Linked DNA regions of Rhinolophus ferrumequinum. The protein of the gene in region 1 interacts with the protein of each later gene in a biochemical or structural test. Links are inferred from orthologs where the notes say so. Each region holds a gene or a part of one and is shown on either strand. Other genes may lie near its edges.

Region 1 (11,057 bases):
CAAAAGATACGTGTGCATAAAAAAATGTACAAATGTGAGATAATAGAAAATACATAAGTGGCCCCCAGTTCCTGGCACAGAGCTCCTAAAACCCTTGTAATTCCCTAAGTGATAGGGGCACTAGGGCATCTCTTGTTCTAATATTTGGTCTTTGACTCCATCCCTGACACTGGGCTCCTAAAACCCTTGTGCATCCCATGTGGTAAGAAACCTAAGATCACTTTCTGTTCTAATGAGGCAACTCTGGGCAGGCTCCTGGATGGGGGTTGGTCACAACGACCAAGCCATAATTAGAAGCGTGGAATTTTCAGCCCCCCTCCCCCGCAACTTCTTTAGAGGGGACGGGGGCTAGAAATTGAGTTAGTAATTGATCATGCCTACGTGAAGATGCTTTCAAGAAAAATCTCACTAGTAGGGGGTCTGGGGAGCTTCCAGTGGGTGAACACGACCATGAAGTGGAAGCATGATGCACTCCAACTCCACAGGGACAGAAGCTCCTGCGCTAGGGACCATCCCAGACCTCACCCCACATATCTCTTCATCTGGCTGTTCATCTGCATCCCTTATCATATCCTTTAATAACCTGGTAAATGTAGGTAAGTGCTTCCCTGAGTTCTGTCAGCTGCTCCAGCGGAACCCAAGGAGGGGGTCGTGGGATCCTCTGATATTGTAGCCAAGTCAGACAGAAGTGGTGGGTAATCGGGGCCCACTACTTGTGATTGGCACCCGAACCGGGGGTCAGTCTCATGGGACTGAGCCCTTATCCCGTGGGGTGGGAGCTGATGCTATCTTCAGGTGGTGTGAGAATTGAGTTAAACTGTAGGACACCCAGCTAGTATCAGAGAATTTCTTGATGGGGGCAAAGCCTACACATCTGGTGTCGAAAGTGTTGTGTGGTAGTAGTGTGAGAATAAAGGAGACACACAGGAAGAAAAGAGCTGGGGTTTCCCTAAAATAACAACGCAGATAATGGAAATTTAGTATGTATTCAATTAAAGAAAGAAGAAAACAGAAATATGAGAAGAGCCCTGGCCCAAAATATAAGATTCCCTGTAACACCTGGCCAGGGAGAGAAGCCTTAGTGAGCTTTATAGGGTTAGTGACTCAGCGGGCATACTTCAGTGATTTTTCAATTTTCAGCTTTTTCTATTGGTGCTTAAAAAAAAAAAAAAGTTTAAGATGAAATTAAAAGGCTTTATTTACTTCTGTGTTGCACTTTCAGAGCCAGTTCAAATATGTTTAGTTCATACTATTAATGCAACCCGATAAAGAGTTGAACCAATTTAAAATTCTTAAAAGTTACATTTAGGGGGTGACAAAAATGTTACATAGTAATACTTTGGTTTTCATTTACAATTGAACTTTTTGGGAAAAATATACCAATTATTTTAATAGATACAATTTGGGATTACAGGTGATTTCTGCTTACCCTTGATGCTTTTCAAAATTTACACAGTGAGGAGCATGTGTTACTTTGATAACCGGAAGGACAAAGGAAGAGAATAAAGAATTGAATAAATGAAAGGAGAGAGGCTGAGGGTGTTTGGTCTGTCTCCAGGCTCTCTGGCAAACACAGGAGGGGGTTTGGATTAAGACTCATTAAATAATTTGCTCCACTTCCCTCATGTCTCTCAGAGGCCCTCCTAACTCAGGAGTCAGGCTTCTATATTCTTGCTTTTCCCCCCTTCCTTCTGTCTATGTCCCCAGTACTAAGTCCCTTTCTTCTTTGGAGGAGGGGGATACAATAAAGACAATTATCACCTATGTTCAGAAAATTGTTTAAAAAGGTTTGGTTGTGCCAGGTGCCACAGGGTCCTCACCCCTGAGCTTACAAATCCTTCTAACTTTCTCCCTACCCCTTTTCCTGGATTTTAGAAAACTAAAAAAAATATTTTGCTGATCAAGAAAGTAATACCTGTTTATTGACCACTCCCATGTTATACTTGAAATGCTCTGGAGGGTGGGGGAGACAATCAATTAACGTAGCTGAATGGACGAGTTAACAAGAGGACAACCTTCAAGACAGAGGATGAGGAGGGAGTTTTAGGCAGGCGGCAGCCTAGCACAGCGCTGAGCACTGCTTTAGGATCAAGTGAGATGGTTGGCTTGATGGGAACCAAGGTCCATGTGGGGCAAGTACGGATAACTCTGGAAAAGAAGTGCCTTTCACAAAGTCACTTTTCATGGGCCATAAGGGATCGTTGCATGTTTAGTTACACACGCTTCATTCAGTTAACAAATATGTGAGCACCTGATATGTGAGGCACAATTTTAGCAACCAACGAGACAGACAAGATCCCTGCTCTCATGGAACTTGCATTCTAGTGGGGGTGGGGACTGACAGCAGAGAAAAGATAATTTCAGGTTTTGAGACATGTTCTGCAGACAATCAAATAGGGTCCTGTCCTAAGGAGTATCCACGGAACGCCCTTAGAGTAGCCAGGGAAGGCCTGAAGAAGTGACACCTGATATGCGACAGGAATAATGGGCTAGAACAGCAAATCACAAAATCAGGAGACTCACAGATCATGGTGTGTTAAAGGAAAAGAAGGCTAGAGCCTAGTGAGCACAGGCAAGGCCAGGGGAGACGAGAATTCTTTTATGATAATATTCTGCTTATGGGTATTGAAGATAATAGCAACGTCTTCTTGGCTCCTTTCTCTCCCTTGTCTGTTATTTAGAAGTGTGTGAAAAGTCAGGAAAATGGCTATGATGTTTGCCCCATCGTCACTAAGCAGAGGGACACTCAGCCTTGCGGATGTCATAGTCACCTCCATTCTTCCTCAGCGCTAATGAGGCCAAGGTTTAACCCCTCTCCAGGTCAGTCAGCTTTACGCAGGAGGAGAGAGCACCAGGTCTCAGCCTGACTGCTTCTCCTCTGGCAGTCTTCTCATATACGAGCTGTGGGTTGGGAGGCGGGGTGTGTGTGTGTGTGTGTGGGAGACCTGGGTGGGGAAACTGCAGCTGAGCTCGACCATTCACCAATTCACTTGCTTACCAGGTACTGGTGAGTACCTCCTGGCACAAGCACCTCACAGAGAGGCTCCTGGTTTTGTTTAGACCACCCAACAGTGCGGTGACATTCTCCCATTTCACAGATCCAAAATGTTAAGTAAATTATTCAGGATCTTACAGCAGGAAGTGACAGAGTAAAACGGAAACGAGTTATTCTCTTTAATTTCAGAATTTGTTTATTAGACATGAATATTCCTGACATTCAAAAGTTATAGAGTAACAACAAAACCCATTACTTCATAAATAGCTCAAGAAATACAACTCAAAGCCTCCTTTGTACTTCTCATTCTTAAACGATGTGGACTCCAATTCTTCCCACTTGAGAAACACTAAATGGCATCACCATCCATTTCATAATACAAACCAGAAATCCAAATAGGTACCAGTGACATTGACACTTCTTTCGATCAGTCACCAAGTTCAATTAACTTTGATATCTATCTCTGTTTCCACTATTCTTTCTACCCTTCTCCTTTCTACAAGTATGATCCCTTATTTGGTTACAATGGCCTCCTAACTGGTCTCCCTGCATCCCTGCATCTACAGGCATCCTTCTTAAAACCTTTCAATGGCTGCTCTTTGCTCTTAAGATATAGACAAAATAGGATACAAGGTCTCATATGGGCTTTCCCCTACTCAATAATCTGGCTTTATCTCAATCTCTTGTTCTGTATTTTGGAGGCCCTGGCCTTCTTCCAGTTCGTCCTTAGAATCCCCAAGCTCCCTTTTACCACAGGGCCTTTGCATATGCTGTTCCTCCCTTCTCTACCTGAATAACACTCTTCTATTTCTCAGCTAAGTTTTCCCTGAGCCCCCTAACTAGGTCAGTCCTTAGCATCTGTCACTTTTACAACTTAACATTTGTTTGTGAGATTAACTGATTAGACGATCTTCCTTAATGGGCCAAGGACCACGAACTACTTGCTTGGTGCAACATACATGCTAAATAGCCAATTTATATATAACATATAACACACCAGGCAGTGTTCCTAGCACTGAACATGTATTAACTCAGGACCTCCCAAAAACCCTGTATGAGGAAGGTATAATTAGCCCCATTTTACGTAGTAAGCAATTTAAGTCACATAAGCTAAGAAGTGGCAGAGCTGGAATATGAACTCAGGAAGTCAGTTTCTGGAGTCTGTGTGCTACATTCACACTTCGGTGACTCACTAGCATCTGCTGAAATGAAGAGTGTTGAGTGATTTGATAGAGACTAGACAGCACCATCAGTAACCTTAGTTGAACTAAAAAATCATTTCACTTGGGTTTTGGTAAGGATCTTATATTTGACTGGAACTTTGCTGCAAAGCATTTATCTTCCCAGCATTTTAGTCCAGCTGCTTTAAAAATCCACTTGCGGGCCAGCCCGGTGGCTCAGGTGGTTGGAGCGCTGTGCTCCTAACACCCAGGCAGAGGTCGCCAGTTCGATTCCCACAAGGGCCAGTGAGCTGCACCCTCTACAGCTAAGATTGTGACCAGCAGCTCGCCCTGGAACTAGGCTGCCGTGAGCAGCCGGAGCGTGGCATAAGCTGCCAAGTGGCCAGCAGCCATCGTGTGCAGCCATGAGCAGCTGGTGGCCTGCGTGAGTGGCCGGCAGCCAGCGTGAGTGGCCAGCAGACAGCTTGGGCTGCTGTGTGCTGCCATGAGCGGCTGGTGGCCAGCATGAGTGGCCGGCAGCCATCATGAGCGGCCGGCAGCCGGCGAGAGCTGCCATGAGCTGCTGTGAGCGGCCGGCCGACCAACGACTGGCAATCGACTGCCTCAGTGGGGGGGGGGGGGGGGGAGCGCAAGACTCATAATACCAGCATGGGCCAGGGACTGTGTCCTACACAACTAGACTGAGAAACAACGGCTTGAACCAGAGCGGGGGGGGGGGGGGGGGGGGGGGGGGAAGCGGAAGAAGGGTAAAAAAAACAATCCACTTGCCTTTACTGGTATTATGACTGATGTTGCGCAGAGGAGAAGGCTCAGCAAACTGCTAGAGGGCAGAAGGCTCGGAGTAAGACAAAATTGTGGATCATTTGGAGTATGGGTAATCCACATAAGGACAATTCAAAGATTTTCATGGATGTCATCTCACTTAACCTTCATTGATTCCTAATGAAGTTACACACACAGGGCAGTTCTTCCTCAGTTACTAGATGAAGCAAAGCCTGAGGTTAGGACTGCTAAGCCATAGGAAATCAACTAGTCACAGGATGGTGAGCCTCGCGTTCCCACACGTCAGCTTCAGAATTTCAAAGGTATCTCTAGCAGAGAAATAGCTTTTCCTCTTTTAAGGATTAAAGATAAATGGCCAAACTTGCCTAATTCTTGGGTGGAACCTCTCAGTAAGAACAGTTCCTCCTAGGTTTTCCCAGAATGGCTAGAGTAGGGCAATTACTCCACAAGCTCAAGCTGCATGATGAAGAGGTCTATAAGCTAGTATCTACATCCAATTAACCATGTATCATATGTAACAATTCAGGAAATTCTTCACGTGGAGTCCATGTACCAATGTCAGGGGAAGTCAAGAACTGTACTGTATGCACATTTTCTTTATGAGCATTTTGCTAAGGAAAGGCTTTCATTAGTTTCTTCCAGGGCTTAGAACTTAAAAAGGCTAAGAACCACGATCCTTTAAGCCTGTACAAGCATTCTTTCTGGTTCACGGTTGTGCCTTTAAAGGCACCTTTGCAGAATGAGACATTTTCATTCCTTCAAGTACCTGGTAGCTACAATGGGGGTCTATGAGGAAATCAAATGCCCACGCCACGTGAATTAGACCTTACAGCAGCACAGACCTCAAACCCCATAAATAGATCTGAGGGAAGTGATTAGCATTCACCTCCTTGGAGGGGGAAGCTGGGTGTAAAGCCAAGGGCACTCAGTGCGCTTGAGTCCAGTCCCCAGCAGGCCACTAACCAGCTGTGCAACCGTGCGCAAGTCGCGTACCCTCTCTGGGCTTCAGTTTCCACATCTGCAAATTGGAAATTAAACCGCATGGTCTTCAAGGTCCTAACCAGCCACAAGCCTGGTACCAATGAGGCTTAGCCATTAAAGCAGTTTCCTGTGGGAGCGGTGCAGGGCTTTAACGGTCTCCCCTCCCCCGCTCAAGCCCGCGAAACTGTTCAACACGCCCCTCCGAGTGACTGCGCTTTCCCAACCGCAGCCCGAACACAGCTCCGCCCCCTCCCGGGGGCGTCCCATCGTGCCCCGCGCTGGGCTCCTACAGCGGCGGGGCGCCTGCCGCCTTTCCGCGGCCCCGACCCCGAACTACTCTCCCCAATTCTCCCCGGTGCCCTATCCTATCAACGCCTAGTATCCCAACCAATCACGCAAGCCCGGAGTCTCGCCTTCGGTCCACTCTCCTCCCAACGTTCAGCCGGTCTGAGCGCAAGGACCTTACCAGGCCAATCCAATCAGCAGCCGGCTCTGGCCTGCCCCACCCCGATTTCACTCCCCTCGGCCAATCCATGTGCCCCATTCCGGAGCCCGCCCAGCCAACCCGGGCCTTGAAACCAGCGGGCGAATGGGTGCAGGGCAGCCCTGCAGCGCTGACCGCCTGGCCAATGGGAGATACCGCGTGGCCACGGCGGCAGCCAATCGATGTGGAGCGCGGTGCCGCCGCGGAGAGGTCCGGCCCGAATATCCCTCCGCCTTCCTCCCTCCCTCTCTCTCCCTCCCTGCGAGCCGCCGTTCACTTACCGCCTCCCTTCCTTCTTTCTCCCTCCGCCACCAGAGCACCAGCCGCGCTCTGAGCTGCCCCCGGGGTCCCTCCCCCGCCGCCAGAGGAGCAGCTGCCGCCGCCGCCAGCAGAAAATTGGGAGGGAGGAAGGAAGGAAAGGAGGAAGGAAGGGAAGCCGGAGCGACTACCAAGAGGGAGCCGGTGAATGGGCTGGTGGTGACCCCCGCCCCCCACCCCACCCTCCCTTCCCACCCGACCCCCAACCCCCATCCCCAGTTAGAGCCGCCGCCCGAGAGGCCGGGCCGACGTCTTAGGAGGAGTCGCCGCCGCCACCTCCGCCATGGAGCTGATCACCATCCTCGAGAAGACCGTGTCTCCCGGTAGGACGCGGGGGCCGGGGGTCGGGCTGAGGTGATTGGGTGGGGGGGAAGGGAAGCCCTGGTTCCTCTGACCCTGTCCCCTTTCCCACTTCTCCCCAGATCGGCTGGAACTGGAAGCGGCGCAGAAGTTCCTGGAACGTGCGGCCGTGGAGAACCTGGTGCGTGCCATCCCGCCGTCCCCCATCCCGCGGTCTCCCCATCCCCTGCGTGCGGGCCTTCCCGCCCTCCCGGAGGCCCAGGCCTCGGGAACCCACCCCGCCCCATCCCGTCCCCCTCCCCCCCACCCGGTCCAACCTAACCCCGCCATCGGGAAGCCGGTGGGTGTGTCCCGCCCCGAGCCCCTGCAGCTGGCCAATGGCGCGGCGCGCCGGGGTGACTGCTGTCCAATCGCCGCGCGGCCTGTGGGCGGCGGTGCAGCGGGAGGGAGAAAAAGGGAGGGAAGGGAAGTTAGGTTGCGCCGCGCTGCGTGTTCAGCAAGGGTGGGGGTGGGGGAGCCGGGCCTAGGGGCCATGTGGAAGCTCCGAGCCCAGCTGCCCTCCCTGTTCTGACTGGGGCCAGCTTCTCCTTCCTGTCCCGTGGCCCCTGTGATTTTTCTCCACCTACTTCTCAGAGTTCTACCCTTTCCTATCTCCCTTGGTCTCTGCTCATCGCCAGGCCTGGCACCCGAATGCCTCTTGACCCATTCCGACAATATTTCTCCTTTTCCTTCTTTTCCCGGGGTATTTTTTTTCTTTCTTTTACTTGGATGAGTAAAGACTTAATCTGTACCCACACAACACGCTGAGCTCATCCTTGAGATCGGAACTGTTTCCAGATGAAATCACAGAGAAAAGTTCCTCGTTTTAAATATTTTCAATTTAAGGGGTACAGAAAAAATGAAGCTAAGTCCACTAGAGACCGGACTTCTGCATAAAAATGTGGGATGGATTGGTTGAAATAACCTGTGTGCCAACAGTTTCTCTTTGGTGTTCCTCTCCTGTTGGGAGGATGGGGAGCAGAGGGAAGGGTGGATGTTTCTTGACATCTTTAAAGCTAATAGGTAGTAAGTCTAAATAACACTGTAACCAGATGTGTTCTTTTGTGTTACCTAGGCAAATAAGCAAAAAAAAAAAGGGACAGCATATTTTATACAAACTGTCTTTGATTTTTTCCCCCCTTTATGTGCTAGGTTTTACTAACCTTTTTTTCTTTAACTTTCCATAGAAAGGATTTTTTCGACTGAAAACATTTCCATTTAGGGTATATTCCTGTTTCTGCTTTTGCTAACTTGCAAGAAGCCTTTTACCTTATTCCTAACATTACTTAGTGGTACATAATTAATAAAACTTTTAAGATTTACCTTCTGTGATTGCAGAACTTGTTAATGGTAAGGAACTATCTGCTTTTGGTTTTCCTGATAACTTCAGGCAAAGCTTTTAGACAGCTTTTTGCAAGGTAGAGGAGTGTGTTACATTTTTTAATAATGGGAGTAGTTTTGGGGATCTGCATTACAAAAGATTATGCTGTTTAGAAATCCACTATTTTTAGTGGACAACTCAAGTAGAAAATGTATAGGAGACTTGAGTGTTAACTGGTGGCTCTTAAATATAAAACCATTTTCCTTGACATTTTTATCTTTTCAGTTTTCCCGTTTCTAAATGTTTGCCAGTTTTTTTCTTATGAATCTGCTTTATTCATTGTTCGCCTCTTGCTGAACACTCAACTGAAATACAGAGGACTGGCCTCCTAAGTCTATATTTTAGATTTATAAGTATTTCCCTCTCATACAAGAGTACCTGCTTTCATGAGATCAAAAGCCACCCTGAGTATCATTCCATTCGGACTTAAGTTTTTTTAATTTAGAAAAATTTTTCTACCCAATGGTAACGTAATTCATTCAACAAATATTTGTCGAGTACTGTTCTAGGGACATAGAAAAACCCTCTGACTACCAGATTGTCAAACTTGCTTTATTTCTAGGGGTGTTAATGTGAAGAATAGGGCACTAAGAATGATGATGGTAGGAAAATCTGTAATTACTTGTTAAATGCTGAGGCTCCTTGAGTAGATGGATGACTTCTTCAATGTATTAAGTAACATTTTTATAGGAGTCGTAAAGTTATTTTTGAGTTTTCTGAGTCGTTATGATACATTCTAAAAAATTTAGGTTTTCTCAGTGTTTTTGGTGTTCCATAAGCTATTCTCAGTTGGTGAAATTCTCAAGAGATATTTCCATTCATGGATGCTGCTTCTTTTAACAGCCCACTTTCCTTGTGGAACTGTCCAGAGTGCTAGCAAATCCAGGAAACAGTCAGGTTGCCAGAGTTGCAGCTGGTCTACAAATCAAGAACTCTTTGACATCTAAAGATCCAGATATCAAGGCACAATATCAGCAGAGATGGCTTGCTATTGATGCTAACGCTCGACGGGAAGTCAAGAATTACGTAAGTAACTTTGCTCTCTTTGGTCATATAGCCTAAGGAACAAGAAAAATCTTTTGTCAGCTTTTTTGTCGTTTGCACGGCATAGAGTTATAATACAGATTGCTGGGCTCAAACCTTCACTTGATAAAAATTGTATTTGATTTAAATCTTTCTCAGTTCAGCTTGTCTGTTCCCATTAATGGATCAGAATTGTTTTCAGATAACCGAGGTAGACTGTAGCAGTTTGGGAAACTTAATTAGATGCCAGATTTTGTAGAATGTCTGGAGAATTAGAATAGTATACAAATTGACAGTTCCCAGAGTTGGGTTATAAGAATCACTTAAGGAATTTGTTAATACGCATTTTCCAGTTCCCTCCAGAAATTCTGATTTGGAGTTTGAGGCTCAGGGATATTTTAAAAACTGTCTTCCCAAGCGATTCTCCCACAGTCAGCCAGCACCCCCAACTCTTGTTGAGCTTTTGCCGTAGATGATTCTCGTTGTTTGGTGGTTTAGGCATGGTCCTGTGTGTGGTCAGAAGGGGAATTAAATGATCTCTTGGGCTTTTCAAGCCTTAAGAGTTTGTGAAACAAGATTGGCGTTCATGGTGCTTTTATCTACTTAGCAAATTATGAAAAACTTTCTTTAGAAACATCTGGCTTTTGATCAAGGCATTTAGAGTGGGCTGGTGAATTTTGTGGAAGATTGAATGTCCCTTGTTGATCTGCATCATGGAGTTTCTGTGACTTTTTTTTTTTTGTTGAATTAGAAATCCATAATTGTAACTGCAGCAAAATACTCAAAATACATGGACTGATGTGCTTTGCTTTTTTTTTTTTTTAAATGAGATTTTTTTAATGGTCTGTCTTACATGGATATAAGGCACAAAGGGGGAGTAAGTCGAGCATCGGTGCAGTCATCATTGGTCCTTGGTATTTGAGGGGAAACCAGTGGGGGATTCCATGTATACTTGTACAGATAATGGTTATGCACATATTTGCTATTTCCTGATTCTGGTTGTGAACATTAGGTAAATGAGTGCCCCTTTAGGCAGTAATTTTTCTTTCTAGTTATGTACCTCCTCCTCTCTCCAGTTTTGCATGGAGGTATCCATGATGGGGGGAACGAGGTTATGCAGGCAACTTATTTTCAATCTTCTTTGGAATACATAGAGCTATTTCTGTCTATATTCTGTTTGCCTATGTAGTAACATTGTAATCCCCTCTTCAGTAGTGTGATATAAAGGAAGTTTTTTCCATCAATCACTGCAAATCCTGCTGGTTATACTGTAGTGCCCAAAATGAGATGGCGTGATTAGAATTGTAATTTGACTTTTTTTTTTGGGGCACATCACTCTTAACATCAAAATTTTTCTAAAATTTGAATAATTTGTATAGGCATTGTTGAGCCCTTGTGCATGAAGAAAAAATTAGCAGTTATTTGGGCCTTTTTCCCATTTGTAGCACACCTAGTAATTAATACTTTCTCAGTGCTAGTGGTTTTCTTTTTTGAAGTCTGAGTTGGATTGAGAGCTAGTTTCTTATTTATTTCAGGTCATTGAGTATTATTATTAGGATCAGCCCTAATTTT
Region 2 (11,363 bases), on another chromosome or scaffold:
CAGGCCTGAGCTTTCAAGGAGCTAGGGAAGGCAGTGGCAGAGGATATGAACTTTAAGCTAACAACACAGAACTCAGAACAGACTTCACAGAATGGAGCCAGTCTTTTAGGAGAATGTCATCAGGAAAATGGTACTTAAAAAAACTCAAGAAAAAAACTAGAGGCAGAAAGGGACCCAGGAAAATATTGCAAAAATAAATCTATTCAGAAAGTAAAATGGAATTGGATATTATTGACCTTCAAATTCTGTCCTTGAAGTATATATTATTTGGTACATTTTTTCCGAGTAAGAGCTATATAAGCATTATTTTAATTTGCAGTACTTTGAAATTTTGCATGACATATCACCATGTATCACTGTGATGCCTAGTTATCTTTATTTTAGCTCTGTCCTTATCTTAGGCTGCAACCATCTTCTAAGAGATCAGATCTAGTAGTTCTTAATGTTGCAGGAACCAGTACCATCAACATCAAGTGAGCACTTGTTAGAAATTCAAATCTTCAGATGATATCCCAGACTTACTAAATCAGAAATTTTGGGGATGGAGTCCACCAGTTTGGGTGATTCAGTCTTGCACGCGGTTCTAATGCACTCTAAAGTTGAGAACTACTGCCTCGGGCATTGCAGAACTGCACCTCTTTAGAGCCTGTTTAGGAAAAAACACTCTTCTGTTTTCTGTTTGTTCACAGCACTACTCTCGCTTCTGATCACCAGATGTGTACTGCAGTATCTTCCCCACACCAAACAATTCTGCACCCACCAACTGGCTGTCCTCCAATTTAACTCAGCTTTGATACTACAGGAGAGAGCGTCAGATCCCACAGGTTGAGGGCTCCTCACCCCACTTCAGACATCAATCACAAGTTCAGGTTGTCACCTGTGCTTTTGACTGACCAACTGTAAATTGGAGGTTCAATTCCTTGGGTTCAATTAATTTGCTCAACCAGCTCACAGAACTTGGAAAAAGTTTACTCACTGGATTACGGGTTTATTATGAAAGGATAATAACACAGAAATAGCCAGATAGAAGAGATGCATGGGGCAAGGTAATGGAGAAAGGGGGCATTGAAGTTCCATGTCCTACTCAGGCTCACCACACTCAGCACCTCCACGTGTCCACTAAATGGAAGCTCTCCAAACCTGTCTTTTTTGGGTTTTTATGGAGGCTTCATTATGAAGGCATGATTGATTAAATCGTTGGCCATTGATTCAACCTCCAATCCCTTTCCCTTCCCCAGATGTCAGAGTGGGGGTAGGGCTAAAAGTTCTAACCCTCTAATTACATAGCTACTTCCCCTGGCAACCAGACCCCCTATCCTTAGGGACTTTCCAAAAGTCATCACATTAACATAAACTCAGATGTAGTTGAAAGGGGTTTATTATGAATAACAAAGGACACCCAATTTCATTCTGGAACTATTTCAGAAGGTGAAAAATAAAGATGCCCCTATAACTCAGGAAATTACAAAGGCTTTAGGTGTTTCATGCCAGGAAACGTGGAGGAAGACCAAATATCTATTTCTTTATATAAATCACAGTATCACTGAGGTCCAGCTGTGGTATAGGCCAGGGAGACAACATGAGTGTTTTGTCTGTTCAGGCTGCTATAACGAAATAACATAAAAAAAAAAAAATACCATAAACCGGGTAGCTTATAAACAACAGAAATTTATTTCTCATAGTTCTACAGGCTGGGAAGTCTAAGATCAAAGCTGATTTGGTGCCTGGTAAGCACTCACTTCCTCATAGACTGCCGTTTTTTCACTGTAACTTCATTTGGAAAAAGGATGAGGGAGCTCTCTGGGGCCTCTTTTATAAGGGTACAGATCCCACTCATGAGGGCTCCACCTTCATGACCTAATTACCTCCCAAAGGGCACACCTCCAAACACCATCATATCGGGTGTGAGGTTTCAACATGTGAATTTGGGGTGGGGGGAAGACACAAACATTCAGCCCATAGCAATGGTCAACTAGAAATGGTGGAGGTTTGGCAGCTAGTCAGATCTGGAATCAAACTGGGGCTCCAGCACTTGTTAATTGTGTAAGGTCTTGAGCAAGTTGCTTTTCCTCTTTGAACCTCAGGTTCCTCACATAGAAAATGGAAATAATAACAACTACCTTGAAAGGTTACTATGAAAACTGAAATTTATGTACCTACAAGGTAATCAGTAGTACTGGCTCCGGTGTCAGGCCCAGTTCAAACACCAGCTGTTTACTGTGTGATTTTGGGCAAATTACTAAACCTCTCTGTGCTTCAAATTTCTCATCTGTCAAGTGGGTAATAATATAATTTAATAATATAATTGTTGTGAGGGTTCAATGAGTTAATATATATCAATTGCTTAGAAGATTGCCTATCACATAATTGCTCAATAATTATTATCTGTTTATAATAGTAGGTAAAGTATGAACTGGCCATGGAATTCTAAGTGTAAGGAACGATGTAATTTTTGTAACTTCATCATCTAACACAATTCCTGGTTATCTGCTACATAATAGAAATACAAATAGTAACAAAGACAATGGATGTGCTCCTCCTGACCAAAGTTGTAAATCCAAATATTTTCCTCATAGAAATATTGCCACATATTGTAACTAGGTTCTATGACATTCTTCTAAGTACCTTATAGATTAAGTAAGGTCTAACCTGAAACATCTAGCCACTAATTATGACCAAGTTTTTGTGCACCTATTTCAAAGAACTAACCTGTAAACAAACTTTTGGCATACTACCCATTTGTAAGTCACTATACTCAGTTGATGCTATTAACACAGAATTTAACTGAGGAGGCATAGTGATCTTTCCAGGCTCACTGATTTCAAGGTTCCAAATAGTGTTCTGTTATACTTATCAGTCTCAAAGTTCCCACTACTTCCCCACTCCCCAAGTTCCTCAAATTGTTAGCCGAATGAAATTTTTTTTTTTAAGGAACACTTATTAACATCTAGTTCTGGGGAACTCTCTGTTTGAGTACACTGCTCTAAGTCATATGATCAGTCTCTTTGACTACTTGGCCTCTTAAGTTGCTCCTTCTGTGGTATTTATATTTTAAAAATTAAAAACGAAGAGTATATATTCTTTCATTTTCCAATAGTTTAGGCCCAAGTAAAAAGCAAGTGAAAAAAGCTTTAGGAAATCTATGCATGTTTGCCTGGCGGCAATATAAATAGATATCAACCAATAATCAGTGATGTATACACATGAATTATAAGTTTTTGTCCAATTAATTAGTTAAAACTAAGCTTAAAAAAACTAAGTCGAAGAAAAACCAAGTGGCTCATTTCTCTCCATCAAATTAATATTAACAGCTAGCCTTTTAAATCATCATCTTTTACCATTCAGGGACTTCAGTCAAAATATTCTTTTCCAGGCTCCTCAAGTTGTAAGTCAGAAACGTTTTCTCAATAAAGAGGAATAAATGAAATCCCCCAATACCTGATCAACTATAATTTCCTAAGAAAATTAAGGTTCATTGTAGTACTAAAGGTCCAATGTTTTTCTCTTATAAAAAAGAACCAGTTATAAAAAACACAAATTACATTTTAGTTAGGATTTAGCAACATGTAAAATTGCTTGTTTCAGCAAATAATACCTAGTTTTGCTCAAGAAATCACACAGAATTCTCCAAACAGTAACAGAAACTATATGATTCATAGTTTAAAGAGAGATTCCACAATCTTCGATTTAATGTATCATGAGAATACTCTAAACTGCTTAAATGAAATAATTATCAATTATAATTCTTTTTGAAATTACATTTGATCAACTAAAACCCTGTGTAAAGCTTCACAAATCCTCACAAATCTCTCTTGCAGAACAGAGAAAGTTTCTTTATTCAGAAAGTAACTCTAAGAGAATTTCATGACACATTGAAAGCAATTATCTCCATAATATTTTAGACTTTTCCTATACTGAAGTACTAACAAGGCAGGATATTAAGTTACCTGATATTGAATATCGTCTTTGAAAACAGGTCTCATATATAAGCATACCTCCTTTTATCGCTTTTCACTTTATTTTGCTTCATAGATGTTGCATTCTTCACAAATTGAAGGCAAGACACTCTACCAGAAAAAATGATTACGACTTTGTTTATTGCGATTGGCTTCATTACAGTGGTCTGGAACCAAATCCACAATATCTCCGAGGTATGCCTGTATAGGTTTTATAGTGTTTGGTTATATTTCATAACTATATTTCAACACAAAAAACATTTGTTAAACAGTCTATGTTAAAATAGACTATTGATGGTATCGATGGCTGCATTTTACTACTTTCTTAGTTCAACAAGTTAAATTTATTAAATCTCCTAACTACAGCTAGAGCTACCATATATTGCCAATTAGGTTACCAATGTGCATTTAGAGCTATTACCAACTGCTTTTCCCCTCTGATGAATTATTTATCTCCTATCTGGGAACAACTGGGAGCACAGATACTAAACATGTAAACTGGATGGCAATGGACAGTGATCATTTCAAATGAAACATTTAGGCCAGCAAACAGACTACCTAAGCATTATAATTAAGGAAATTGTTCATTTTAGCAGTGTGTCACGACTACTTTTAAACATGTGGGGGGCTTGCCCTGAAACCTATGTCTGATCTATTCCCTGACTCTTAATCCTGGAATGAACATGATACCAAATTAAGAATTTTTAGAAGGAACCCAATGTAAATTAGAAACAATAAGAACTCAATCCATATTTTTAATGAAGAAGTGTTAGCTTGTTTTTAAACTTATGGAATATGCACCCAAAGTAGCTTGGATTCAGGTCCTGCATTTGTCAAATAGCCACTGAGAGTCGATAACGTTCCAGGTACTACTAGGTGCTGGGTATGTAGAGAATGAAAGAAATATGGTCCGTGACTTCAGAGAGCTTATTGTCTAAAAAGGAAGACAGACAGACATTAAACAAATAAAAACAAGACTGAAATTACAAATTGTGGTTATTTCCTGTTTGTACTGCATCTTTCTCAATGGGTAACTGTGATCACACCCTTCTTTTAGGAGTATTCTGCAGAGAACCTCCAGTTGTTTAATCATCAGAGACAATCAGTTGTAGCTGGGAGACATGAAGACATTTAATGGTAGATAATTGCATAACCTTTATCAAGAGAGCTATCATGGAATTTATTCCAAAAAGTACAAAATATTCATCTATACATGCATTATAGGGTGGAAATTCACCAGTAATTTGTTGTCTTGAATTCTGCTCATGACAAAAATCCATGTTGATGGAAAAACAAATGTATTTCAGATTTTCAACTGAATTTTCTTATCCTAAACACATTTGGAAAAAAATCAGTGCATTAGTGTGCAATGTTATTTCAATTAAATGATTCTTTGGGTTATAAAGATTTATAATGAACTTCATCATTTAAATTTAAAATCGACACTGAATTTACATTTAAGTTAACCTTCAGCATGTATTATTTCCAAGTACAGCTTCTGTTTGCCTAGGCAGATCAAAAAATACAAAATATTGAGGACTTTAAAGGTGTTATTCCCATTTTAAACGTTTTATCTCTGCATATTGTTCTAGTCAAAAATATACCAGTAAGGAAGTGGGAGGGAAGGAGAGGAGTAAAAGTTCCCAAAGGAGTTTGAATCAGGGACTTCTTCCCCTACCTCACCAAATTTAAACACATCCAAAGCTTCTACACACACACACACACACACACACACACACACTTTCTTTCAGACCTCAGTTGCTGCTGACTACTTCATGTTTTTCCTGCACATTTGAGGTGCTATTAAATATACTTGTAAACAATTTCCTTCTCCGTTTTTCTGAAATATCTGAATACGTTCTTTTGTAGCTGGTCTTATTTCTGCCCCTGGCAATAACATTTCTGATAAAGATGTTTATCCTTGGAATTCATTTCCTTTCTCAACAGAGTTACAATACTACTACTTTACTGTGTCAGGTGCCACGGTCCCCGCCTTACAGAATTTAGGACTTTGTGGCCAAGCAGCTTCTTTAACTTTCTATGACGAAACACCTAGGAGGTGATATCTTCACAAGATCCTTAGCGCTTCCCAAGTTCCTACCTGTTGCGGGGACTTGGTCAGAAGGGTTGAATCAGATTTGTCTAATGCGTCCTTTTCCTTTTCCACCCATGGTTCCCTCCCGCTTTCCGCTGAGCCTCCGGAACGCGTCACCCCAGCCAGTCCAGGCCCCAGGGCCCGGCAGGAACTCCCCGCAGTGGAAACAGAGCTAGGTGGGCACAAGGGGGTGTCCCGACCCGGGATGGAACCGAGGCGCAGCTCCCACTTCCTTTAGCAAAGACAGCGGAGCGCGCAAGTAACGCCTGGGGGAGAGGGCGCACTTGAGAAGAAAAGAACTTAGTTTAGGCTTCCATCCACGACCCCAGATGTCTGGGGCGGCCCCTACAACTGGAGTAAACCAAGTCGTTCCCTGCCTTCTCTTTCCCCTTCCCACCTCCCCTCAAATCTAATTCTCTTTCGCTTCCTCCCCCTAGCTCCGGGGGCACGTGGTCCCTCCCGGCCCTGCTCCGTCTCCGCCGATGCCCACCCCTCCCAGCCTTCCGGGTCTCTAACCCCTTCCTCCCCGCGTCGCTTGCTTTCCTTTTCGTTCGCTCTTCCGCCCCCGCTCTCCATCATCCTTTCTGATTGGTCGAGCTTGGTTGGCCAATCGGCGAGCTAGGCTGGCGGCGGTGGGCGTGGCCACGGCACCGGGGCCCTCAGACCGAGGCTGCCTCCCCCTCTTAGCCGGCAGCACATTCCGCCGCTGTTGCCGCCGCCCGGCCCCGCGGTTGTCTTTGGTGGAGCTGCCGTCGCGCTCGGGTTAGGGCGGGGGGTGGGACGGGCGGGGAGAGGAGAAGGCCGCGACAGAGGCAGGTGAGAGGAGTCAGGAAGGAAGCGGCGGCGCGGCGAGCATAGCAGCTCAGGCGGCGGCCCGGTTCCTGGGAGTGTCGGTGCGGCGTGGTGGTTGGGGCGGATCCCGCGGGGCCCGGGCGGGGGAAGGAATCACCGGCCCGGCCATGGCGGACAACGAGAAACTGGACAACCAGCGGCTCAAGAATTTCAAGAACAAAGGCCGCGACTTGGAGGTAAACTCGCGGGCGCTGGAGGGCTGGGGGGCCGTGAACCTCGGGCGGATCTCCGCCGGGACTTGGAGTGTGGGGAGTAGGGGCGGGAGCCGCCGCCGGGCCGCGGGGGAATGGCGCTGGGGGCCGGCCCGTCCGTGACGCCTCTGCTAATGCTCCGGGAAGTTTGTGTCGGGCCTGGTCCGCCTCCGCCGGGGAGCGAGGTTCCGGGGTACGGCCAGCGCGGCCTAGGCCTGCTCTGCGGAGCCGGTCCGGCGCGGGTGCGAGGGGCTGGGCCGCGCGGCGGAGAGGCCGGGCGCGGCGAGTGCGGAGGAAGCGAGTGTCTGCCGCGCTGCCCGGCCTCGCTGCGGCCCCTACCCCGGCCGCGGCGGCGATGCCGGCCCTCGCTCCGGCACCGGCGTCTGGCGCCGCGGGAAGGAGTGCGGTGGGAGGTGGGGAGGGGCGAGCGTGCGGCGACCGAGTGGGGCTCGGAACTTCCTTAGCGAGGCCCGAGGCGTCTCTACTTAAAGGCATTTTTTCTGGTCTTCCCGACTCCCACTTTACCCTGCCTCCCCCCAATATCCAAACTACAGGAGTCAACTTCTCCGTTGAAAAAAACACCCCCGGCGTGAGAGGCCATCCTGGTGATGCTAACAGTGCCTTCCTGCGGCCTGTGTTTTACTGTGGATATAGCTGATTCAAGATGTGGCTCACGGTGTGCCCTCTTCCAGGCAAAGGATGCCCCTTATTTCAGCTTGTTCACAAATCTCTTTACCCCCTTCTGAGAGACCACCAGCTGCATTCTTACATATAAAGTCCAAAGGGTTATACAAAGCTGTCATCCTCTAGTCTACAGTATCCTTTCCCTCCACCTGCTGGTGGTGGTAGTGGGGGATGGGGTGGGCTATGGAATGGCACCATCGCGTTTTGTTTTAAACGGATGGAAAAAACCTTCATTACCTTATATACAGCTGCTCCCGAGGTGCTTAGGCTACATAAGGTGTGTGGGTAAACACACACACCCCCCACAGATTTTTTGATGGAAGATTTCTTCCCTTAAGTTTTAAGAGTAAGTAAATAGGGTTGTTTTTAATCTATTTTGCATCTGAATCAAGAGTTTAGCTTTTAAGAGAAAGTGGTCAAGTCGTATTTTTTATGTTGTCCTTCTGTGCTTTTTTTATACTGAGATCTTCAAATTCCCATCACCTGTTTCTGAACTTTGAGCATTTGCTTGACTGAGATAGTAATATTTTGGGGGCAGCCCACAAAGCCATTGAATCTCTAAGGTAGTTGGTGCTGTCTTAGTGGGTTTCATAGTTTGAGAGACTATTAAATGGCTGGAACTAGGCTGTTAATTCTCAGACTGTTTTAAGGTTAATATGAGGCATTGATCTTGTGATCCCTCTTTTTTAAATGAAAAAAATTTAACATCTTTGTTGAGATAATTCACATGCCTTAGAAATCACCATTTAAATGTACAATTTATGATTTTCTGTAAATTTACCTAGTTGTGTAATGATGTGACAAAAAATTTTTTACTAATATGCATATTTAAAATGAGAAAAAAATCACAAATGACAAAACTTAAAAGCGTAAATACCACAAAGTTACAAAATCCAAAAAGTAGCAACTAGGTGTTTGACAAATCCTTCCAATCCTTTTCCTCCTCCATTTCTAGCTACATTTTGTTTAAATAGCTTCATTAAGATGTAATTTTCATACCATATAATTCACCCACTTAAAGTGGCTTTTGATATTTTCACACAGTCGTGCAGCCATCAGTATAGTCAATCTTAGAACATTTTCATCATCCTGAAAAGAAACCCAAACTCATTAGCAGTCACTCTCCATTTCCTAATCACTCTTTGTTTAGATTTGCCCATTGTGGACATTTCATATAACTGGAGTTATACAATATGTGACCTTTCGTGACTGATTTCTTTTAGGTAGCATCATGTTTTTTAAGGTTCACACACATGTTTTTATGGCTGAATAATCATCCACTGTATGGCTGTCCTACATTTTGTTTATCCATTCCTCAGTTGATAAACATTTGCATTGTTTCTGCCTTTTAGCTATTACGCACAGTGCTGCTAGGAACATTCATATACACATTTTTGCATGTACCTATGTTTTCATTTCTCTTTGGTTGTATACCTAGGAGTGGAATTACTGGGTCACGTGGTAACTTTATGTGTAACCATTTGTGGGATTGCCAAACTGTTTTCTAAAGTGATCCTTATTTTTTAAATTGATGTTCCCCTTTCCTGTGTATCTCTTACTTTAGTCAAAATAAGATTAAGTGCTGACTTTATATTAGAACAATATTATGTGATTTTAAAAACTAAGTATAAATACACATTAGGCAGGTGTTTTTTGTTTTTTGAGAAGTTCATAGAGCCTTCTGAGCATTCTCGGCCCACTTTGATAATCTTTTGTGTACATTAGGAATAGAAATATTTTCACTTTTCCACAGAAGCAAATGACAGGTGACTCTAATGGAAAGTCATACTTTCTCCTGACTTGTGACTCACTCAAAGTCTCACATGCCTGTAATGAGATGGAAACATCTTTTATTATTCTTAGAGAACACTAGAATAGCCTATTTTGTTATTAATTGCATATATATCTATGTCCCTCAAGACACTTATTATACCCATTCTCCCCCCCCACTGCTAAATATGGTTACTATGTTGTACTACAACAAATTCTAAGAAAATACTGTTTTTTTATTTGGTTGTGATGACATCTGTTTGATTTGGAGGTCTTTGGAAAGACGTATGGACTGTTGCTTTCTAATGAATTTTAGCTAATCCATTATTTCCAAAATTGCAACATGTAATCAATGTAAAAAATTAATGTAATGTTTTATACTCTTTACATACTATGTCTTAAAAATCTGGTTCGCATATTTCAATTCAGACTAGCTACATTTCATGTACTTAATAGCTACAGGTGACTATTGGCTACTTACTAGACAGCACAGATACAGAGGATAGCCTATAGAGTGAGCATTTTTTCATTTGATCTAACATTGTTTGATTTGAAATTATGAAGAGTACAAAATCCTAGAATTTTGTTTAATGTGATCTCTAACTTGGTGACCTTGGGAGAATCAGATTTACGCCTTTTTCCTCTTAAAACTAGAGGTACTTGACATCTGCTTCATGAGTGTTGTGTAGATTAATAGGTTAATGTTAGGAAGCTGCCTAGCAATTCTCTGAGTGTTTTATCACCATCCACTTTTCTGCTTGGGGGAGGAAAGAGATTTAATATGATTCAGTGTAACTTTTACTTTTACTCCTATTTGCAATTGGCTGTTTGTTTTTCTTTGTTCATATGTAACTTAAATTGAACTTAACAATTAATGGGGAAAATTTTTTTTTAATGGGGAAAGTTTTTAATGTGATATATCATTGCTCATTGAAGGGCAGTTTGGGCACAGGGAATTAGTGATCCTTCTGAAGTCATAATTTCTAAATGTTAACACTGATTCATAGCTTCCAATCTCATATTAATTCCTATCTTTCATTCTGCCATTCTGGCTATTCCAAAATGTGGTCATGCTAACTTCTTGAAAGACAAAAGCATCAAAGAAGGCATATGTCGATATCCATTTAAAATAATTTACAGGAAGTGTCAGATGATACTTAGTGCTTGGTTTCTTTCATGCAGTGTGGTAGAGGATCAACATTATTAGTCTGAAAATAGTAACCGTAAAGAGGGGACACGCAGTGCAGCACAGGAAAAGGAAGTGACCAAACTTCAAATAAAAAATTTGTCAGAATAAAGCAAATAAAGCTCATCTAGTTTATGTTTTAAAAGTAGAGGGGAAATTTTTTAGTAGACTTTCTAATAAACCTGCATAATTTTTATAAAAGTTCTGAGACTATCCAGGTTTGAATAGAACGTAAGTTATGTTAGAGGAGTAATTAGATCTTATATAAACACATCTTTTAAGAAAAAAAACTTACCCTGAAAATAAAAGAATATTAAAATACTACATAAATGGAAACTTGTTATTGTCCACACAACATAAAATATCAACTCAGCTTGAACTTTAAAAAGAAAAAAAGTTGCTTTGTTGGCAAGAGTTAAATTGATCAGCTGTTAAAAGTGATCAGCTTTTTTGTTGTTTAGAAATGGCTTTGGTGGTTTGTTAAACTGTACAGAGTAAAAAGCATTGTTAAGCTATTAAGTCTTGTTAACTTTTAGAGACTGACCTCTCTCATCACAAATCTTGGAACATATTTACTATACTTAAAATAACTGCTGTCTAATTTTTCATATAATAGTCCAAGCATGTGA
Region 3 (10,541 bases), on another chromosome or scaffold:
TAAACCTAACAGATACCTGCCTCATCAGGGAACTTTCCAGGAAATGGAAACAACACCTGGGCCCTTTTGTCACTTATTAGACAATGTGGTAAATTCATAAAATACACAAGGGCCTCTCATCACAAACCAAATACACCGTTTCTTCAAACAACTCAATACTTGGATTTATTTCCCTATACACTTAATTGGCTGGTGTTTCTATAAGGAAAATATGTTAAAAGTAAGTATTTAAGAAAGTAATAATAATTTAAGGTTTGGTCTTATCACTTAGCAAATAAGTCCTTAATCCAATATGAGCCTACAAAAAATTGAGCATCAGTATGTAAAGGAAAAAGCTCCAGAAAGAGGTAGCAAAATTCACAGGCAGTTAAAACATTTAAATCAAAAGGTTCTATCTATTTAATCACAATAATTTTAAATGAGTCCTTACTTTATATGCCAGGCCCTAATCTAAGACCTTTACTTCTATTATTTCATTTAACCCTCACAATAATTTCCACTCTACAGATGAGTAAATTAAGCATAGAGAACTTAAATAATTTGTATTTATTTACAGGTTTATTACAAGTCCTGGCAGAACAGCGATTCAAACCTGAGTACTTGACTCCATTAGAGTACTCTTTCCATTCCTACTGTGTTTCCCCGAAAATAAGACCTAGCCGGAAATAAGACCTAGCCGGACAATCAGCTTTAATGCATCTTTTGGAGCAAAAATTAACAAGACCTGGTCTTATTTTACTATATTATAAGACCGGGTCTTATACTATACTATACTGTACTATACTATCCTATAATATCGGGTCTTATATTAATTTCTACTCCAAAAGATGAATTAAAGCTGATTGTCCAGCTAAGTCTTATTTTTGGGGAAACGGGGTATTACCATGGATAGAATTAAATATTTAGGACAAAGCAAATAAAGATAAAATAAGTCAAAACTACTTAGTGACTTCTGAAATGAGTTCAGTATTCAACCTCTAAATATCCCTCCTTTTCAAAACTGAGAACACTCTTTAGTCATCAGATACGAAGTAGGACATACTTATTTGGAACAAAGTATTATATAGAAGGTAGCAATCCAACAAAACACCACCACCAAAAAAAAACCACACTAACATATAAAGGAGTGTTATTTAGGCAACTCATGGTCTGTGGGCCAAATTCGGCCCTTGGCTGGCTTTTACACGGGCCTCAGGCTAAGAATGATTTTACATTTTTTAAACGGTTGTGAAAACAAAGGAAAGAACTTTCAGCAACAAACCTAAAATATTTACTATCTGGCCCTTTACAGAAAACATTTGCAGACTCCTGGTCTAAGTTTCTAAATAGAAATGGGGTTTCCTCCCCTCCTTTTTCAAATAGGCTAATGCAGGAACTGACTTGTAAGACAAACTACAACCTAGGAAGATAAAATGAATGGATTCCCTTAGCTCCAAACCAGAAGATAAAACCTCTGAAGCACACCTCCCAAAAAGGGCAAAAATAAGTAGTTCCCTTGCACCAGGAGGCTGGCAGGAGGTTCTACCAGAGCCAAGGTTCTGGTTTGCCCATGGGCTCAAGTCTTTTGGGGTGGATACTAAGAAAAGCAGCTTGACTTCTCCAGAGCTGACTTTCTGGGCCTGACAATCTGCACAAAAGGAAATCGGAAAGGGGACTGATCAGGTGACATGAACTAACCACATCCTCTTCAGTGACTGGTTCACTCCCAACTAGAAAAATGACAGCATTTCCTAAATGTATGTGGGCTAAGAATTGGGGGCGGGGGGTGGGGGGGGCATGTAGGAGAGAAGGCAAGTGAAAACAGTCAACTTACATTATTCGGGGATGTTATTCATTTTTGCTTCTACCATTCTTAAGTTCCTAACCTTCAGTTAATTGAGTAAGACAATGGATTTCTGTCGCCACAACTTCAAGATGCCATTTTAATGATCAGAAGTTAAAAAAACATAAACTTCAGATATATCTCAGCAGAGCTAATCCAGAAGAAGTCAAAACAGGAAATTACAAGTCAGTGGAACACATGCAAAAGTCACAGGTAATGCGTGACAGCACAAGCCAGTTGGCCTGACAGGCAATGGCAAACCTCCATTAGCTAACAGTGCCAGATCTCTCATTCTTATTCCAACCCTCCACTACACAACCAAAAACCCCAGTTTTGCCCAGAAACCCTTGGACACTTAAATCAAATAACATTCATATAAAACATGCCATGTCATGAAATTGCTTGCTATTCATGATGACTCAGCAGCTGCTGCAAAACAGAGGTGGTAGCCTAGGGTAGTAAGCAGCAAGCAGGTAGTCAGTCTGTAAGTCCACAAAAGTCCCAGTAAGGAGTAAAGAAAGTCCTTATTTTCAGATTTAAAACTCGGTAATATTACATATAATATTATTGTGTATATTCCTGGATACTTTTATGTGCTATTTTCTGCCAATATTAACACCCCACTGTTGATCAAGAAACTCCCAAACATCTTTTATCTTGATTCAAAAGCTAAAAATCTATTTTATTTTTCAATTAAATGACTGAAGCAAGAAGCTGAAAGTATTTTGGATGAGGGAAATGATCAATTATCATGCTCTAAAACAGAACTACAAAGCCTAAAATCCTATCCACTCTTAAGACAATTTGGATCATAGGTGTTATGTTGCTAAGGAATCACCTCCCCAAATTTAGATTTTTACCCAAGTACATTTAAAAATAAGCTGTGATTATAACTTTTGCCACCTAGAATATATTAGTTCCTTTCTAAAATGCCCAGACCATCCAATGATCTGTATTTAAAACATTTCATTTTCTTATGTAGTAACTTTAAGGAGATATAAGAAAGCAAACAGCTATTCTTCACGAGAAACAAAAAGCATGTGTCTAACTTCCATTCTACAAAAGGATTAGGTTAAATGGCCAGGCTTGTGACCTGAATTCTAATCTTAAATCTGCCTGCAAGTCCCTGTTCCTCAAAAAGAAATCTGAAAACCAGGCACTTTCTTTATATATATGAGAGAAAACTGGCGGGATTTAATAGTAATGCCAAGACTTCTAACCATTAGTAGGAAAATACTTAAAATTATAAACCACAATTTTACTATTAAAAATTTCCAAGTCTTTACTTTCAAAATGCTGTTTTTTAATGATACAATTTAACACCAGCAAACACATATTCATCATCCAGAATAAAGCAATCTAGGAAGTCTACGTTTAAGAGAATGCAACAAGTTATCAGACCCTTTTGTTCTACTTTTGTTTTTTAACAAGTTTAAGACACACTTACTTCGCACCTTAATATCACTGAGAAGTTTTATAAATAACTTTTATTAGGATAAATTCCTTTTCATGATTTCAAACACCCCTGAATGTACAAGGTGCTTAAATTATAAGAGCACCAACATTCCTGGAGAGTCAAAAGTACCTAAACTTCTAGAATACGCCCCATAATATTAAAATATTTTGTGCATGAGATCAGAAGTGGCGTCCTGGTCAACTGTGCATAATGGCCAATTCTAACCTCCAAAATACAAGGTGGGGGAGGGGCATATGGGGCGAGGAAAGTGTCTCGCAGCGCAGAAAAGACGTAAGGGTGGAGAGGGACTTTCAAAATGCCCCACTACTACCGTAACTATAACCCGGCTAAGAAAAAAAAAATCTAAGCGAGTGCTCTCAGATCGGGGGATCAAGAGTGGGGGAGAGGGAGAATTAATCACTAGGCTGAGACTAGGTTATTCCACTTTTAGGGTAACAGCACCCCGGTTAATCCCCAGTGCCCCGGAGACAGATGCCTCGCGGCAGCCCCCTTCTACACACACTGAAACGCGGGAGACTAAGAAAACAAGTGTAGGGGCCTCCAGTCACATCGTTTTCCTTTCTCCCTCGAGAGGACGTGAGTAATACCCTCAAACCCCCCAATCCCCGCCAAAAACGAAAGAAACGCGCGCATTACGGGCCTAGAATTTCTGTTCCCGCCCTGTGCCTGTTGGGGGAAGCCCCTGGCCGGGAGGGTTGGGAAGCGGAGGCCGGAACCACACGTGTTTGCTGCAAGGATCGGCCTGTCTTAGACCACTTCCCATCGCCATCCCAGCGGCCTGAGCTCCTACCGCCTCGCTCGAGCCTTTCCTCAAGCCCTCGGGTCCCGTCCACGTGGGGCACCAGGGCCCCTCACCTCCAGTTCCCTCCCGCCGAGTTCCCGACCCGCTAAACCACCCAAGAGTCGGGGTCCCGTACCTGGTGCTTTTGTCGCCCTTGCTGGTAAGGCTTAATTGGCCCCTGATGGCAACGCCGCGACCGTATCTTGCCGCCACCGCCCCCTCCTACTCCTCCGGCTCCCGAGGCCATGGCTGAGCCTCGGCTGCTTCCCGCTCCGGGGCGGGCAAGGGGGCGGGAGAGGCAGAAGCGGCCGCCTTAGAGCCACCCCCCCGCCCAGCCCCAACCCAAAAGTCCGTCCGCGCTGCCCACTCTGTGGGGCACAGGCACACCAGGAACCGCGAGGTTGCGAGCGGAGTGAAGAGAAAATGCGCGCTGGCAGCTGGGAAGGCCGTGGCGGCGACAGAGGCCCAGTAACTGGCTCCGTTCCGGCGGACTCCGGCGGACCACCTCCTCTGTGTATGTCACGGTCTCTATGGAGATCCCCCGCAGAGGACAACCAGAGCGGCCACTCTCGCTGCTAGGCCTAACTAGACCGCCAGCTCATGGCGATTCTTCTTCCGCCGCCCTAGCCGTGGCTGCCGCAGTTGAAGCCGCCGGCGCCGCCCGCCTACCCCTCCCCTCTGCGCACAGCGCCCGCCCCGGCGTCGTCGTCGTCGTCGTCGTCGTCGTCCCTGCAGTCGCCGCTGCTGTTGTGCCTATTGCGGCTGCTACGGCCGCCGCCGCGGTCGCGAGCCAGAACTCCGTCACTCGTCAGCGCCCGACACAATTGCATCATCACCCTGCGATCGGGTGATTGGCGAGGAGGAAGGAAGGGCCGGTTAAGCCCGCGCGCTCTCGGCCGCGGGGCACGCTGGGCAACGTAGTTCAACGGAAGTAAGCGACTTCTCGGAAAGCAAGAAGCGGAAGAAGATGAGCGGGTTGCCGCAGAGGCACAAAGCCAGGGGTTCTGCTCCTTTTACTGCTCTTGGCTGTCAACTTACTTTGAAAATGGCGTGTAATATCAAAGCAATAACCTCCTTCCCACTCTACTTCTCCCCATTGATAAAGCGGGCAGAAAGTAAACGATAATAAAATCAAAGCAGCTAATAATATAAAAAGAAAAAAAGGGGTTGAAAAAACAGTGTCCATTATCTTTAATCCTCAAGCAGAATTAGAAAATATATACAGTTTCATTAATGTTCCATTAAAAATATAGGGGCTTTGTTATCAAACACAAGGGTTGGAATTCTGGCTCTGCCACTCTAGCTTGACCTTGGATAAGGCAAAACCTGAGCCTTGGATTCCTCCTTTATGAATTGGAAACTTTAAAATCCACTTTATAGAGCTGTTGTGATCATCTATGTAGAGCACTTAGTATCTGTTATCTGGTATACAAAAAATGCAATAAATGGTTACAATTATTACCTACACATCGATTCACATTAGAGGTAAGTAGTATATTATCAGTAATAAAAGTACAAAGTACTGACCCCAAATAGAAGGCATTATATTTAGGAAAGTGCATAAGTGAGCTTGGCTCAAGGCCTGAATCCACAAAATGTAGAAATTGTGGGAGCTAACCCTTAGAAAGGCTTTGGTGACCACGTGGTCCAACCCTCATTCAACGGACCAGACAGGAGTCCAGAGAATTCAAAAAGCACATTTGTTTGACAGAGCTAGGCAGGACTATAACCCAACTTCTCTGTTAAGATTTGAGACAACCAAATAATCAGGGAGAAAAATCAACTACTGTGAAAAACAAAACAAAACAAAAAAACAGACTTTATATTCCATTGGAGACAATTGACTTCAAAGCTTATAAATAGCTTTGGAGTCCCAAATAAATAATTTCAAGTCTATCACTTACTAGGTGTGTAGCATTGTGGAATTTTAAATCACTGCATAAATCATACAAGTCAAATTATAAAACCAAACTTACAGTACCTCGGAATTTGTAATACCTTTCAGCACCTAAGGAATCTTGCTGTATCAGGCATAGGTTTACAGAGCAAATAATTTTCAGTGGCATCTGTGACCATAAGCACCAAGACTATTAAAAATTGCCAAATATGATAGACAAAATTCATCTACTTCCTCTTCTGCTTCCTTGTTCTAGCTTCATGCCCGCCTCTACTACCTTACCACTAGACTTTTCCAACTGAAGCACCTCATCCTTCTTAAACATAATTGTTTCTCTTTCACAATTCTTAGCTAGGTATTTGACAAGTAGAATAAAATAATTCCAAATAAGTTAACTCACAGGGAAGACATGTTACCTGAATCTTTAACTGGGCTACATATATAGGAAATTGAACTATAGCCACATCCTTTTCCCTTTCACCCTACCAGACTCAGAATTTCCAGCATAGCAGAGTATACTGGCTGCAACTCAAAATCATCCCTTTTGGGGACTATAAATTAATGTGTGGGACAGCCTTCATAGCCAAGGTTTGAAAGAAAGGGACATGCAAAAGAGCTAGGCCAAACAAGACAAAATTTCAGAATAGAAAATTGGTGGGATTTTTGGAAATGTGATGAAATCCACATCCCCTGTTAGTCTTGATCTCAATTGTTTACCCCACCTTTCAGTTATTTCTTTGAAATAAAACAATATTTGAGGGAACAATAATACATTAGTCCCACATTCGTATGACTTGAGTTATTGCAAACTTTACCAGTCTTGACAACAGAGAAGGAATAAGAGGCAAGAAGAAATTTGCATTCAAAATTTGCCACTGCCTAACTGAACCCTGAAATAGTACTCAGCCTCACTATGGGATGCCTTAACTTCTGTGCAAAGTTTGGGATTCTAAAAAAACATTGTTCCTCTGTTCAAATTCAGTTTGAAGTTACAAATCACCAAACTTAGAGTTCCTCACACATCTCTGGTCAGAAATCCTTCTTCAGTTAGGAATTAGTAGTAGTAGTAGAACGAGTTATAATAAGTTATTCTGATTTGAAAACTTAGAATTCGCCCATATTCAAACATACAAATAATTATTGAATATTTCTCTAAGAGATATTACATGTAAATTGGAAAAAAATATCCAATAGCATGGAACAATAATAGGGATTCTTGAAATCCTTCAACCATATTAGGAGGTAACAGTTTTTTTGAGGAAGGGAATAATTATTTAGTATTTATAATTAAATAGTTTCTTTAAACGATGAAATTTAATCTATTAAAACCCTATGAGATTCTGTAGTTCACAGAATTGGAAGCTACGAAGCGTGATCAAACAATACAGTGAATGTTTAAATAAAAAAAAAGTTACAGTAAAAGACACATTGCCATTAATTCCCCCTCACTTCGAACACACTTATCCCTTCATTCTTGCCAGTTTCTGAAGCAGTCCTGGAAGTCCTCTTTTCTGAGTGCATTTAGTTGTGCTGTCATGGCTGCCTGGATGTCCTGAACCATTTTGACTTTGGGGAAGAGCCCGAAGTCGCACAGTGCCAGATCCGATGAATAAGGTGGATGAGGACACATCATAATGCTTTTATTTGATAGAAATTGCCATATACCAGAAGCAATGTGTGACACGGAGCATTGTCATGATGGGGGATGATTTACAGCATACTTTAAAACACACCTTCTCTCAACCATAGCTCACACCCAACTGGCTGCATTGAACAAGTTGAAGCTTGTCACAGACTGTTACTAGGGTTCAACATGCCACTTTTCCATATTGAAGATCACTGCCTTTCCATTGGATGCCATTTGGCAGCAGCATTCACCGTATTTTGTGATCACAATGGAGAGAAATGTTCTGTGTCACACATCACTTCTGGTACGATAACTTCTGTCAAATAAAAACTTTATGCGGGTGGCCAGGTGGCTCAGTTGGTTAGAGTGCAAGCTCTTAACAAGGTTGCCAGTTTGATTCCCACATGGGCCAGTGAGCTGCACCCTCCACAACTAGATTGAAAAACGACGACTTGACATGTAGCTGATGGGTCCTAGAAAAACACAGTTCTGCAATATTCCCCCCACTAAAAAAAAAAACAAAAACCATTATGGTGTGTCTTCATCCACCTTATTCACTGGATCTGGCACCATGTGACTTCTGGCTCCTCCCCAAAGTCAAAATGACCATGAAAGGTAAATGTTTTGAATCGATTCAGGACATCGAGGCAGCCAGGACTGCACAACTAAAGACACTCACGAAAGATGACTTCCAGAACTGCTTCAGAAAGTGGCAAGAATGACGGGATAAGTGTGTGTAAAGCCCTCATGAGTATTTTGAGGGTTATTAATGTCTTTTACTGTAATATTTTTTTTAATTTAAACATTCACCATACTGTTTGATCATGTCCCGTACTACTTGCAAATTTTGTATCATGAACTATCTTCCTAGTCATCCTTTCCTTTTTATTATTAACTTCTATTCCCATCAGTCTTTAGGCCTAGACAAAACTGAAATAGCTCTAGGAACTGCTCTTTTGTTTTGGGTTGTTTCATTGAGTGTGTTTTAACAGAAACTCCTTTATCCCTTACTAGTTTTTTTTGTTTTGCTTTTTGGGTTTTTTTTTTTTTTTTTTTTTTTTTTTTTTTTTTTTTTTTAGTTTCAGGTGTACAAAACAATGTAATAGTTAGATATTTATACCCCTCACAAAGTGATAGCTCCCTCCCCCAATCTACTATCCCTCTGACATCATATATAGCTGTTACAGTTTCACTGACTCTATTCCTTATGCTGTACTCCACATCTTGTATATATATATATATATATATATATATATGTGTGTGTGTGTATATATATATATATATATATAAAATTATAGTTGACATTCATTATTATTCAGCTTCAGCTTCAGGTGTACACTGCAGTGGTCAGACACCTACACCATCCATGAAACGGTCTCCCTAGTAAGACAAGTTGTCCATCAAATACCCTACAAAATCTTTACAACATTATTGATTATATTCCCCAAACTGTCTTTTTCTTAAACCCCAAGAAGATGAGGAATTTTTCTTATCCTGAATACATAGAGCAGTGTTCAGACATAGCAGTCTCACTGTATGTACTATATAGCTCATTTCCCTAAGATCCAGTTATTACCACTGCCAACTGTTTCCATTTTATTGTAATAAATAATTCAATGATGAATACAGCTAAACTGCTTTACATAACATTTTTCTAGCTTGCATGTAGTTTGCATGTATTTGTTTTCTAGTAATGCATAACACATTAATATTTCTCGAATTCATTTATTTATTCATAATAAAGCATTTATGAGCATCATGAACAAATCCCTCTGATAATGTTATACAGAAATTCTCATGTAATCCTAACAATTCTGAAAGGAATTTTTATCCTCATTTTACTAACAAGGAAGCTCCACATTTGAGGGCACTGAGGAGATAAAAAAAAAAAATTGAAAAAAATCATTTAAAAAATAATAGCACATTAAATATTTGAAATGATTTCTCCTTATTCCAAAGCCCACATTCTTGCCATCACTCTGCCAATTTAGGAACCTACCTACCGTGTTTCCCCGAAAATAAGACCTAACCGAAAAATAAGCCCTAGCATAATTTTTCAGGATGACATACCCTGAACATAAGCTCTAATGCATCTTTTGAAGCAAAAATTAATATAAGATCCGGTCTTATTTTCGGGGAAACACAGTACGTACCACTCAAAACAGTTTTTTCTTCTAAAAGATGTTTTTTCCAGTTCAATGGAGAACTCCATACTTTAGAAACCTCTCTATCTGATGGCCTCCACACTGACTAAAATGTTTAGATTCCAGTCTATCTTATTATATAGTGAGAATGGACATTTGCCAACTGTTTGATGTCATAGCCATTCGAAAGACCAGACTCAAATAGCTGGCTTCAGATCACCTGGGACGGCAAGGACCAAGTAGCCCCCATCATGGCAAGGGGATATAAAGTTACGGTGTAAGATGGGAGTGAAGAGTACATCACTCTTCCAGGAAAGGAAGAAGCAGAAGAAGATACGCGGTATTTGGGTACAATGGATATTGTACATTAGGTCTCCAAGTCTGAGAGAGAAGCCACATTAGCAATATCAACAGAATTCTATGTATATCATAGAAACAAAAGAATGCTGTGAAGGATGAGAAAAAACTCACAGCTATTTATATTCAAACCAAGTAGCAGAACATGACACAAAACACAGAAGGACAGGAATTCCTTCCCAATAATCAAGTTGGAAACAAAGATTAGCCCAACTTCACTTTTCTTAATCCTGGACCCAATTTTTTCAGCCAAAACAGATGGTCTATTGGGAGAGACCTCAATTTATGAAAAGTCTATTGCTACTAAGGTCCCTCTCCTCCACAAACTTTTTAATTTTTTCCCTCATATAATATGGTAACTGCCAATTATAAATTAGCAAATAGAGAGGCTGCTGACCCTTCTCTAAGAGAAAAGGAGTAGTCACTAATTACAAAT

Evidence for each region.
Region 2: the proteins of KPNB1 (region 1) and KPNA4 form a complex in vitro, tested with the Homo sapiens proteins (2 studies listed by BioGRID and IntAct, with this or other methods). The link is inferred for Rhinolophus ferrumequinum from reciprocal best matches to the Homo sapiens genes KPNB1 and KPNA4.
Region 3: the proteins of KPNB1 (region 1) and nuclear pore complex protein Nup153-like form a complex in vitro, tested with the Homo sapiens proteins (4 studies listed by BioGRID and IntAct, with this or other methods). The link is inferred for Rhinolophus ferrumequinum from reciprocal best matches to the Homo sapiens genes KPNB1 and NUP153.

Annotation. Positions count from the first base shown.
Region 1 is NC_046304.1:35,251,529-35,262,585, reverse strand, and holds the start of KPNB1 (importin subunit beta-1), read left to right. Parts: upstream 1-6,683; 5' UTR 6,684-7,025; coding exon 7,026-7,065; intron 7,066-7,164; coding exon 7,165-7,223; intron 7,224-9,305; coding exon 9,306-9,488; intron 9,489-11,057.
Region 2 is NC_046285.1:79,282,205-79,293,567, forward strand, and holds the start of KPNA4 (importin subunit alpha-3), read left to right. Parts: upstream 1-6,795; 5' UTR 6,796-7,010; coding exon 7,011-7,079; intron 7,080-11,363. UniProt on the Homo sapiens protein: Functions in nuclear protein import as an adapter protein for nuclear receptor KPNB1. Binds specifically and directly to substrates containing either a simple or bipartite NLS motif.
Region 3 is NC_046292.1:77,275,496-77,286,036, reverse strand, and holds the start of nuclear pore complex protein Nup153-like, read right to left. Parts: upstream 4,846-10,541; 5' UTR 4,328-4,845; coding exon 4,217-4,327; intron 1-4,216. UniProt on the Homo sapiens protein: Component of the nuclear pore complex (NPC), a complex required for the trafficking across the nuclear envelope. Functions as a scaffolding element in the nuclear phase of the NPC essential for normal nucleocytoplasmic transport of proteins and mRNAs.